Linked DNA regions of Caenorhabditis elegans. The protein of the gene in region 1 interacts with the protein of each later gene in a biochemical or structural test. Each region holds a gene or a part of one and is shown in the gene's direction. Other genes may lie near its edges. The genes, in order: stn-2 and snf-6.

What was found.
Region 2: the proteins of stn-2 (region 1) and snf-6 form a complex in vitro, tested with the Caenorhabditis elegans proteins (one study listed by BioGRID).

What each region holds. Positions count from the first base shown.
Region 1 is NC_003284.9:7,675,712-7,682,532, reverse strand, and holds stn-2 (PDZ domain-containing protein), read left to right. Parts: upstream 1-1,913; 5' UTR 1,914-2,008; coding exon 2,009-2,044; intron 2,045-2,188; coding exon 2,189-2,261; intron 2,262-2,697; coding exon 2,698-2,831; intron 2,832-2,876; coding exon 2,877-2,940; intron 2,941-2,992; coding exon 2,993-3,058; intron 3,059-3,579; coding exon 3,580-3,676; intron 3,677-4,105; coding exon 4,106-4,169; intron 4,170-4,223; coding exon 4,224-4,372; intron 4,373-4,458; coding exon 4,459-4,627; intron 4,628-5,050; coding exon 5,051-5,176; intron 5,177-5,229; coding exon 5,230-5,295; intron 5,296-5,340; coding exon 5,341-5,505; intron 5,506-5,550; coding exon 5,551-5,643; intron 5,644-5,691; coding exon 5,692-5,811; intron 5,812-5,855; coding exon 5,856-5,981; 3' UTR 5,982-6,022; downstream 6,023-6,821. Other genes in the region: mfsd-8.5 (Major facilitator superfamily (MFS) profile domain-containing protein), read right to left, coding at 6,404-6,496, 6,543-6,665, 6,712-6,813.
Region 2 is NC_003281.10:1,529,697-1,534,869, reverse strand, and holds the start of snf-6 (Sodium-dependent acetylcholine transporter), read left to right. Parts: upstream 1-2,042; 5' UTR 2,043-2,101; coding exon 2,102-2,200; intron 2,201-2,584; coding exon 2,585-2,678; intron 2,679-3,038; coding exon 3,039-3,098; intron 3,099-4,875; coding exon 4,876-5,051; intron 5,052-5,173. Other genes in the region: mtg-1 (CP-type G domain-containing protein), read right to left, coding at 1-48, 446-567, 748-869, 929-977. UniProt on the Caenorhabditis elegans protein: Mediates sodium-dependent uptake of acetylcholine at neuromuscular junctions during periods of increased synaptic activity, may also prevent spillover to adjacent synaptic sites.

The sequences.
Region 1 (6,821 bases):
AGGGAGAGAGTGTCTGAATCTGGTGCTCAGCATGACACAGAGAGAGGAAAAGAGAGAAGAATTGGCAACACGAAGAGGAAGAGCATGCCAAATAAGAATGTTTAACATTTTGCATTGATTTTTTCTATTTTTAAGAAAGTTATTATAAATAAAACGAATATTTAGAAAACTTATTAGTTTTCTTTGAGTAAATTTAATTAGTTTTTTTTCTTCAAAGACCACATAACCAATTTTTCTGAAAAAGTTATGTTTAGATTTTCCAATGATAAAATACCTTGTTGACAAAATTTAAAAATAACAATTGATATCATCAACAAGGAACAGTCGATACATAGACACATTAGGGATTAGGACCGTAGACACCACGGGGACTGTACTGCGTACTATGCGCTGGAAATGACGCGCAATGGAGTGCAATAGAGACCAGCATATAACTATTTCAATGAAAATGGGAGATTACTTATTTAATAATCGGTATTTAGGTTTTATAATCTCACATTTTAAAAAATAAACTAATTTTTCCATCAAATTTTCCATATTAATAATACGTGATACACGTGTTCCTCTTCAAGTTTAAGTGGTTTTCCAAGAATAAAAATGCAAAAGGATTTCGAACATTTCCATTTCTGATAAATTAAAAAGGTGTTATGATTCACAACAAGGTTTAATAAATAACAAAATACGTGCGTACTTTGAAAACAGTTATATATATCTAATTTTTAAAATTAAAGTTCATGTATTTTGTCGTTTAATTTTTGACACTATATGAGCGGGTTTAAACAGTTTTCCTACTGAAGGTACTCCGTTTTTAATTTATATAACAAGAAGAGCTACAAAACACTTTGTGGTTTGTTTCAAGCAGAGAAAATGTGATCACACATATGTACTCAAAGAAAAAATCACAATTTTAGTCTCTCTTGATGACTCAGTTGACTAAAGGCAAAAAAGTCAGCCTCGTTTGCACAACAACGATTGTGAAATATATTCCGTTGCCTTTCTTTTTTGCCAGTTGCGGAACATTTTCATATGTGTTTGCGCCGCCGAAAATCGTCCATCATTCGAAATATGGAAAGCGAAACGATGTGTCTTTGTATCTTCAAAACGGCATTTCTCAATTGAAGCTCAATGGCTCATTGACATTCGAAGTGAAGACACAGTGTAGGGTCACGGCGCTAAAATGCGTGTTTTCCCATTGTTTTAATGGGGAAAAAGGACAATAAGAGTAGAAAACGGCAATTCGTCAAAATGATTGATTATATTCATCAATTAGTTTGCAGGAAACAACATGCAGAAATGTGGAAAAGATTTCAGTGAAAGTTTCAATTAGTTTGGAAAATCACTAACTGTTGAATATGAATAAACAAATGGAGAAAAAACAGGGATGTTAAAATTTTTATCAAAAGTCACTCCTCAAAAAGGTATTCCGTTGCGGGGAATCGAACCCCGGCCTTATGGGTGAGAGCCATAAATCCTAACCACTAGACCACAACGGAGATGGGTGAGCAATGGTCGCTGCTTAATGATAAGAGTACAGAAAACTTTGTGACTGTGAACAATGTGTAGAAAATTTTATCAGTCAGAAAGCAGCACGCGAAGAAATTGAGAAAAATGATGGTTGCCTTTCCGGCAATCTCTTTGGCAACAGTTCCAGAATTTCAGCTCTTATTTTATATCTTTTAATCAGTTTTCAGACTATGATCAAAACTTTGTTGGATGTTAAAAATATTGGATGACTCGTTTCTGATATTAAAAATTCAAACCAGCTGTTTATCATCTTGTTTCTCACTTCCTTCAACTGCTCGTTTTTGCTGTTCGTCTATGATTCCGCATCTTTTGCTGTTGTAATGTGTGTATTACACCGCTTCCGATGAGCAGATAGGATAGATTGGAGCTCGGGCGCTTCAAAGTTGACTCGTGTGAGGTGGCACACACACACGCATCTTTAGTCCCTCTAGTTCATTGTCCTTCATTTTTGCTACATTTTATATTCTCTGTTAAACAAGGCTAAATGTCCGTTACGAAATCACACCATAATCTGGATGTGGTAAGTTTAGCAAATATTATGAAATTGTTGGTTTTTAATGGGCATGTTTAATTTTTGTATAGTACATGCCAGCAATCTGAAGTCTTATGAAATACAAGACTTGACAATATGTTAAATGAAACAAATTCCAACAAAAAATTTCAGGTTCATCATGGAATAGTACTCATTAGTGATGGGAATGCCACTTCTAGATCGTCACGACTGCTTTTATCCAAAGGTAAGAGGAAATTAAAATGGAACTTGAAATAGAAATAAAATGGAACCATCAATTTTTGAATGTATGCATTTTTTCCACACTTCTCACATGGGGCCTATAAAAGCCGCACAATTTGCGAAAGCGAGAAGGGCCTGAAAAACGAGGAGAAATGGGGGAGAAAAACGAAAATAAAAGAAAAGTGTGCAATGACGGCCTCAACTAGTCGTGTGAAAACTTTATTAGGCAGCTCATGGCGCGGAAATTGGTGCCTAGCCTACAATTGAGTTGTTGAGAAAAGAGGAAAAAGCTGTCAGGGTCCCGCATCTTCGTTTTTGTCTTGCGCTTCCTTTGCGCTTTTAAAACTCCAAAAAAAATTTGGTAGAAATGACATGAAAATGGCATGAAAACTATATAAAAAGTCATCCAAAAAAAGAAATATCGTAACATATTCTTGCAGATGAGTTATGTATTCAAGTCATTGACGATGGTACCGCGGAGCCCGAAGAAGCCAAAGAAACATTTCTAGAAAATGCAACTCGGCAAGTTGTCATAGTTAAAAAACCAGACTCGGGGTTCGGATTGTCTATTAAAGTGAGCAATTGAACAGGACCGGTGTAATACTTAGAACTATTGCAGGGAGGATCAGAAAATGCACAAAACATGCCAATAGTAATCTCCAAAATATTCAAAGGATTGCCAGGTAAATCGTCAGATTTAAAATTTTAACATCTAGAAAAATACTTAAATTACAGCCGACGAATGTGGAGAGCTATTTATTGGAGATGCTATCGTAGAAGTAAATGGAATATCCATAGAAGGTGAGGGAAGAAAAAGAACGAGTAGTCTTCATTAGTCCAATCATTTGGTTCCCCTCTGGGAAATAGGAACTGAAAACGAATGAGCGTTCATAGCAAAGACCAAAAAGTTAAACTAGTTTTTTTTTAAATAATAGAAATAAAATGGAACCATCAATTTTTGAATGTATGCATTTTTTCCACACTTCTCACATGGGGCCTATAAAAGCCGCAACAAAATAACTTTTGGCAATTCACGTTCAAAAATTTAACATAAAAATTTAAAAAAAAAAAACAAAGTTGTATTGAATAATAAAACAAGTCATATGCTGTACTTTCCCTATTATACTTGCTCCTTCTCTGTTGGATGGGTTATATATGCCGTCCTAAGTTTCATAACAAATCAATTTTTTTTCAGTTGCCAATTAAAAAAAAACCAAAAAGAACTAACTAAGATATAAGCTGTCAAAATCAAGCAAGGGCATGATGGTACAAGTCTAATAGGGAAAAAAAACGGTAGACTATTTTTTCATATCAACTTCCAGGTCAAAGCCACGACGAAGTGGTTAACATGTTAAAATCAAGCGGTGACCAAGTAACTTTGGGTGTCCGCCATTTCACCCATATGACGCCGTTTCTAAAGTGAGTTTGGTTTTGTGGCGAAAAAAATTTGCTACTCAAGTCAGTCCCATGCATCGCCTTTCTTCCTATTTCCCGCTTCCTTTTTCGATTTTCGACGTGGCGTTACTTTGGCGAGAGGACACACAAAAAAAGTATGGTTGAAAAGAGTGGAAGAAAGAAGCATGAAAAAGAAGGAAAAGGACGAAGAAACATGAGTAGAAACAACTGATGGATTAGAGTGTAGAAGAGCTCTGCGCAGGGGGTGGTTTGAGGCAAAGCACGCGGAGCCTTACGCCATCCTCCCTGATGAATGCTTTTCACTGCATTTGAAATTCAAAAATGTGCGCAGTAGGCAAACTGCCGAGGGACACACAATGTTTTGCGCAGAGTATATAGTTGCATTTGATTTTATATCGGGGTACCAGAGACGTTGGAGTGACTACTTTTCAGACCAGCACAGTCATTGCAACCCGATGGAACATTGGATCAGCTGTTTGATGGAAGAAGTACAAGGGTAAGAAAAAATCCTAAGCTTCCATTTTGAAATTATTTGGAGTTTTTGCTTCAGAGCCACAAAGCGCAATCCGAATCCCGACTCTCCGACTCGAAATGGCAACAACATATTGACGGACGGGAAAAGAAATGGAAAACGTTGACGTCTCTTCCGTTGGCAATGGCTTATGTCACCAGATACCTCTGGGGAACCGACAATATCAGGTTTGCTTCAGATTTTATTTTCGTAATGAATACATACAACGGGGAGCTTTTTGTATTTCTTGTTCAACAAAACTAAAATTTTACAGGACAAACTCTTTCGAAGTTCGTGCAGTAGATGGAAGATCGTCGGGAATTGTGCATTGCGAAGATACATCGGCGCTGGAACAATGGATCTCGCACATCAGCAAACATATATTGTCGCTCAACCAAAAGAGTATAAAAATGAGCAACAAGTACTTGCATCAGAGTGAGCAGGTCAGTATGCAATGATATGACTTCAATGTTTGGTAGGCACGTTTGGTTGCCTTGAAACATCTGTTAAAAATACGACATCGGAATTAAAAATTAAATGTTTTCAGCACACATCAGATTAATGATCCAACATTACTGACTATGAAGCCGTTTTAGGTGTCCAGAGAATTATGGGTCGAATGATGTATTTTCTAAAAGCTAATACAATGGAAATTACGAATTCAGAATAAAACTTTGCTTAATCTAATTTTGAGGCAATTATTTTTGCTTTTGTCTGCTCGATTTAGGATACTTGATGGAAACATTGTTGTTTTTAAAGCCGACTATCTTGTTGAAAATTGAATATTCAAGAAAATAGTCAACTAGTAAATCTACTAACATTATGCACGGTTTTTGCAGTAAATAGTTTAAATTAATGTTTTTTAGATCAGCTACATTGGTTGGGTGAATGAATACTTGAATGATGATGATCAAGAAGAGCTTAAAATCCGCTGGCAACCTCGCTTCTTGATTTTAAAAGGCAGTGATGTCTGCTTCTTTGATGTTCCGCCGGTATGTTTTTTTTTTAATTTTTGAACTTATTTTACATGATTCTTTTTTTCCAGCTAAACTCTGAAGATCTCAACAAATGTGTCTACTTGTACAAATGTTATGATGTTGCTGTAAAACAGGTAGATTATCAAAAAAAGTAGTAATTCTAGAAGGGATATCTACAGGTCCCAAACTCTAGTCCACGAAGAGATAAGCGTGACAATTGTTTCTTAATAGAAACTCCATTGCAAGTTCCAAATCACTACCTGTCATTTGAAGCTGTATCTGCATTTGAACTTTTTGAGCAAGCATATTACCGAACCGTATACAATACCATTTCCCAAATGCAGGCAAGTTTATTTAAATTATTCAACAACAATAACAGTTAACTTTAGTCCCGAACGTTTGCCTGTAACTTTGAAGGAAGAGCCAGTGGAATCGTTTTTGACATTAAACAGGGAATTAGTCTATATGATATTCCTACTAAGGTAATACTATTTCTAACTGTTATTGATATTGATACAATTTATTTCTAGAGTTACATTTGGCAATATCGGTTCAGAGATTTACAAGCCGTTGCTGATGATGGCAAACTGTGTGTCCAGTTATCGTTCAATGATGATCGTTCATTGAATTCCGATAGAATAGAAGTAAAGGTTAGTGGTTTTGCAACTTTCCGAGTCAAGTACTCAAATTGCAGGACATCGAATGCGAAGATGTGGTAACAGTTGTATTCAACCTTCATTCCTTTGTTCTTGCCAGAATTGTTTCCACTGATCCAGACTATTTGAAGGCTAATCGTTATGTTGGAAATGCAGAGGACTAATGATTTTTGATTTTCAAAGCATAAATATTTTTTTGTTGTTGTTCAACTGTTGTTTAAAACAAAATTTGAATCATGAGTTAAAGCTAGGTTTTCAACATTTTTTTATTTCAAACTAAAAATAAAAACAATCTGCATGCCGTAGTCTACCTGTAACTTATGGACCAGTTTTGAGTCATATGCAAAAAATCAAAATTTCATTGAAAACATATGACTTTTTTCAGGTTTCTGGCACAATCAAATTGTCAATTTCAAAAATCCTTTATTTCAATAATCATAAATTCTAATTCTCAAAGAATTATATCGATAACAAGATAAAGACACGCGATGAGTCAAAATCAACCGGTTTCTGTTTGCCGTAATATTGCACTTACAACAGTACTCGAAAACTCAAACAAAGGTGAAATAACAAAGTAAAGAGTTGCCTAATTCAAAGGCTCAATCTTCTTCGTCTCATATTTCTCGAATGGAACCATTCTCACACGCAATATAATCCACGCACTAATAAGGACTACCAGCTGAAATCGTTTGGGTTTCTATTGAATTAACTGCAGCAATACTCACGTTCACAATTAGTATCAACCATGGAATTGAAGGGCCATATAATGTGTAAACGTAGCTCATCAAAAGTGGAGCAAGCATTCGCCCAAATGATCCGGCCATTTGGTACACACCTTGATAAGTTCCCTTGAAATATGAACTATTAGAATTCTATTAACTCATAATATGATACCTGTGGTCTCGGGCCTATTACTTTGGAAAACAGTGTAGTAACGGTGATATTCATAAACGAAAATGCAACACCAAACACCATAATGAATCCAATATAATATACCTGAAAAG
Region 2 (5,173 bases), on another chromosome or scaffold:
AAAACTTTTTGAACGCCCCGCTCGTAGTAATAATCCTCGATTTGGTGCCTGAAAATGGGGAATTTTTGAGAAAATTTCGGATTTTACAGCGTTTTTTCCGAAAAAAAGGTAAAAAGAATCGATTTTTCTTCATTTTTTATAAAAATCCGGTCGAATTTCACCCAGAAATCGTTAAAAAAGTGCAAAAAATCGCGCTAAAATAGCCAAAAATTCGAATTTCCCGCCACTAGTCCACTGGAGCGCACTTGCACTGCGCGGTCGGCGGGAATTCAAATTTTTAGGTGATTAAAGTGGATTTTTGTCGGAAAATCGCAATTTTTGACTAAATTCGTTGAGAAAAAGCCGAATTTCGTCGAAAAAATCCAAAATTTTTCGGAGAAATTCTGAAAATCTTGATTTTTCAAGCGTTTTTTCCGGATTTTTTCGAATTTTTCCGGGTTCTCACTTGTATTTCTTCATATCTATCAAGTCACACTTGTTCAGGACGAGAATATGCGGTCGAATAGCGTATAAATGTCGAAAAAACTGCTGATTTCGGCCGGTAATCGGGATTCTGGCGTCGTGGACCTGGAAAAAATGTCGATTTTTGCAATATTTCCCGATTTTTCAACTTTTATAGGCGGAAAAATTCACTAAAATTCTTACACCAGTTTTTTACACCAGTTTTTCGGTTTTTCAGCGTTTTTCCGGTGATTTTACAGATTTTCCAAAAAAAAAATCGTAAAAGTTCCATTTTCCATGCAAAACCTCAATTATCAAGTCGACGGATCGCAATTTCGCTTCCATTTTTTTCAATTGTACGGACATATGCATTGGAAACCACTGCCGATAGTCATATTGCGCGGGAAGTTCGAATTGTTGGCGAAATTCTGAAAAGAATTGCGATTTCCGCGCGGAAAACTGAGTAAATAATGGGGTTTTCGGGTACCTGGAGTGGAAATTCGATATGTTGTGTGCAGAAATCGACGAAAATTCATATTTTTTAACTGGAATTTGAAAAAAAATTGAGAAAAAATTGTGAAAACAATTTTTTCCTGTAAAAAATCAAAAAATAACCTGAAATTGCATGATTCGTACTCTGCGTCTCTGCTCTCTCATGCGTAGCAATGGAGCGCAATTGCAGAGTCAATTTTTAATAACTTTGGAAAATCCTAATTTTCACCATTTTTAAGGGATTTTTTACAATTGAAAATGCGAAAAACAAACAGAAAATGTTTTTAGCCGCATTTTGACACCAAAAACTACACAAATTACTCCCCAGAGAAATATAGATTTTTCGAGAAAAACTTGATTTCAAGAAAAACTGTGATTTTTGGAGTCTTCGTGATTTTTAGAGTTTTTCTAGTGGATTTTCGGTTTGCACCGGTATTAGTTTTAAAATGTTGGTATTCTCCTGAAAAATTCAAAAAAAAACTAACAATTTCCGGTGTTTTCTGGTATTTTCTCTGTAAAAATGGTTTTTTTTTGTTTAAATCTTATTTCTTTCATAATAAATGCTTTATTCAACCAACAAAGATGCTTCCAAACCCAATTTAATTTATTTCATCAGAATTTCCATTTCAAACACCCGCCAACAAGCGATTTCTCAATGGAGCGCGTTTGCATTGGCAACCTGGAACATTTTTATTTTCCAGAGCGGTTTTTCGTGAAAAACGTAAATTTTTCATTAAAATTTTCGATTTTTATAATTAAAATTGAATTCTGGAAGTGAGTTGCAGCATTTTGACCCCAAAAATCTAAAATTTGACCCGAAAATTATTGATTTTCAGCTAAAAACTCATTAAAACCGATTTATAGCCAATTTTTTCCTGAAATAAACTAATTTTTCCCACATTTTCCCACAATTTCTCACTTTTTCATTCGTTTTCCCCGGCTTTTCACGTATGTTTTCAATTCGGGCGAGCCAACTGCTTCCGAAATTTGTGTAACAACGGGCCGCCGCGTCGCCTCGTTTCTCTTTCGTTTTTACTCTAAAATTCGTATTTTTCTTCGCAATCTCTTGCTAAATAGCTCAAAAAATCGTGAAAATTGCTAATTTTCAGGTTTTAAACCGACGAAAAATCGATTTTTCCAAGAAAAACCGAGTTTTTCCACACCGAAAATGTCGGTTTCGAGCAACGATCCGGAGCAGAGGAATGGACGGGGCATGGCAAGCGGAAACAACGTGGATATGAGCCTATATCCTCCGTTTATTAAGCAGGTTTGTGGAAAAATTCGGAAAATTCGAGAAAAACGGATAATTTTGACGTTTTTCCCGAAAAATTTGGATGATTATCGATTTTTTGTGAAAAATTCCAAAAAAACCACAAAATTTGATGAAAATTTCCACTAATTTTTGTCCTAAAACCAATAAAATCATTGAATTTGCTGAAAAATTGCCGAAAAAATAAATAAAATCAAATTCCCCGCCACTAGTCCGCTGGAGCGCACTTGCTCCACGCGGTCGGCGGGAATTCAAATTTCCGTTTGATCTACGGCGGGAAACGACCAATTCCCGCCATTTTGTTAAAGATTTCAGCGAGAATTTTGAGTTTTTAGGGAAAAAACTGATTTTTTCGCAAAAAAAACCCTGAAATTTTTCAAGCTCGACGCAAAATTGCCCGATTACACACGAGAAGGTGACATCGAATATCCATTCGAAGAGATTACGGGTGTCGGAGACGAAAATAGGATACGAGGTGCGACAAAAATCCACGTTTTTCGATTTGGTGGCCTTCAAATCCAAAACTCGGCCACCAAACTGTTTTCATTGAATTCGCCACGTCAGCAGCTTTTGAATGACCCCCAACATGACCAGAATACGTTGATTTTGAGCTTTTGTAGTTTCGACACAGCTGAAACCGGTGCTACAGTACCCCGCGTGGCGAGACCCGAATTTTTCAAATTGCACGGAAACAGGGCATGATGGGGGTCATTTTGAAGCTGGAGACGTGAAAAACACGAATTTGTGTGAAAAAATCCATAAAAACCAAAATTTTTATTGAAAAATGCTAAAATACCAACAAAAAAAATTTTTGTGAAAAAAAAAATTTTTTCAGGAAATTGGAGTAACAAGTCGGATTATCTGCTAGCAGTAATTGGTTTCACAGCGGGAGTTGGTAAGAAAGCGAGAAATTTGAATTCCCGCCAAACCGCTAAACAACACGCGTTGGTGTACTAGCGGAGTGTCGTTGTTTTTCTTGTAAAAACGTTGATTTTCTGGGGGCTTTTTGAAGTTTTTTCGCATCAAATTGATGAAAATAGCAATTTTTAACTGCTTTTTCATGGAAAAAACCAATAATTTTCCCTAATTTTTAGGCCAGAAATCCGGAATTTTTACGATTTTTCGGCGAAAACAGGGGCCAAAGTCCACGATATCAGCAGATAATAATCTGACCATACGAAATGAGTACGTGCGAGAAATTGATAAGATTATAAATTGATAAGAGAGTGTGTGTGTTCTAAAGTTCTAACATCTCTTGTTTTGGGGGATTTTTTTTTGGTGAAACATTGGATATTTTTGGGATTTTCAGTGGAAAAATGGATAAAATATCGATTTTTCTGCAAAAAAAACTCGAAATTTCAATTTTTCAACGCATTTTTCACGTTGAAACCAGACAAAATCAGTGAAAAAATCGAATTTTCAGTAATTTCTCAATAGAGCGCACTTGCTTTATTTTTTCCAAAAAAATTAACTTTTCTATTGATTTTTTATAGTTTTTTCTTCTAAAAACGAATTTCAACACCAAAATTTTGGAAAAAAAAGTTTAAATTGTCATTTATTGGGTCTAAATGATTTGAAAAGCGAAAATCTCACATTTCTAGTAATTTTTTTCAAATTTTCAGTTGGAAATTGAGTTTTCCACTCATTTTTACCCTAAATTGGTTTTTTTTCGAACAAAATAGATTGATGGCCTAACTTTCGGGGGTTCTAGGCCACCAATCTGAAAATGATGGTTCCTAGCCATGTTTATCGATTTTTTTTTTGGAGTTTTTGGTTCAAATAATGAAAATAAAAACATTTTTAACTGGAAAATCACAAAAATTTCGGTTTAAATCCCTAAAATCTTCTAAAAATCGATATTTTCGTGACTTATGTGCTTCTACTCGTATTGATGACATAAAAACTGTATTTATTCACATTTTCAGCCTTAAATTGGCTGAAAATGTGAATAAATACCGTATTTCTGCCAACAATTTGACAATAGAGCACATTTGTCACTCGGAGATGCGGAAGCTATGCCCAAATTTTCTATTTTCCCGAAAACTCGTGTTTTTCATTTTTTTTTTTCCAGTGATTTTCACAGTTTTTCATTACGAAATTCGGCTTCTCCATCAATTTTCACCCCCGTAACCCGATTTTCAGCCAATTTGGACTAATTGTCGTAAGGTTCGGTGCCTAGCAGGTGTTTGCGTACTTTTGGGGCTACCGTACTCCTCGAAATTCAAATTTCAAACTGGCTTTTGGGAAAAAAGTCCAATAGCGGCAAAATAAACCGGAGAATTCGAACTTCAATGTGAAAATTCCTGAAATTTCCTGGAAAGTTCGAAAAAAAAACGTTTTTATCAACAAAAAATTAAAATTTCCAACTTTCAATATATTTTTCCAGCATTTTCATGCGAAAATTCAAATTCCCCGCAAATTTTCACCCCGGTGACTGTTTTTTCAGCCAAATTGTGCGAAATTTCGCAAAATTCGGTGTTTGCGTACTTTCGAAGCTACCGTACCCCCCTCGAAATTCAAATTTTTTCAATTAGGAATTTTTTTTTGTAAGATTTTAACGAAAAATTTGAATTTCCCAGTGAAAAATCGCGAAAATTTCTGGAAAATCTTGAAAAGAAATTTTTTTTTTTGGAAAATTTTTAATTTTTTTACAATTTTCTCTTCCTTTGCAGGAAGTTTCTGGAAATTCCCATTTCTAGTATTCCAACATGGCGGTGCAGCATTCCTTGTACCATATTTATGTATGTTATGCCTCGCCTCACTACCAATGTTCTTTATGGAAATGGTACTTGGACAGTTCTCCTCGTCGGCTGCGATTAGTGTTTGGAAGGTGGTTCCGTTGTTTAAGGTGAGAAATTTTGGCGGGTTTTAAGTGGGAAATTTGAATTTTTTGGGTGGAAATTATCCGGAAGCTCTGCAAATTGTGAAAAGTTTGAATTCGAAGAGAAAAAAAAATGTTTTTTCGCCAAA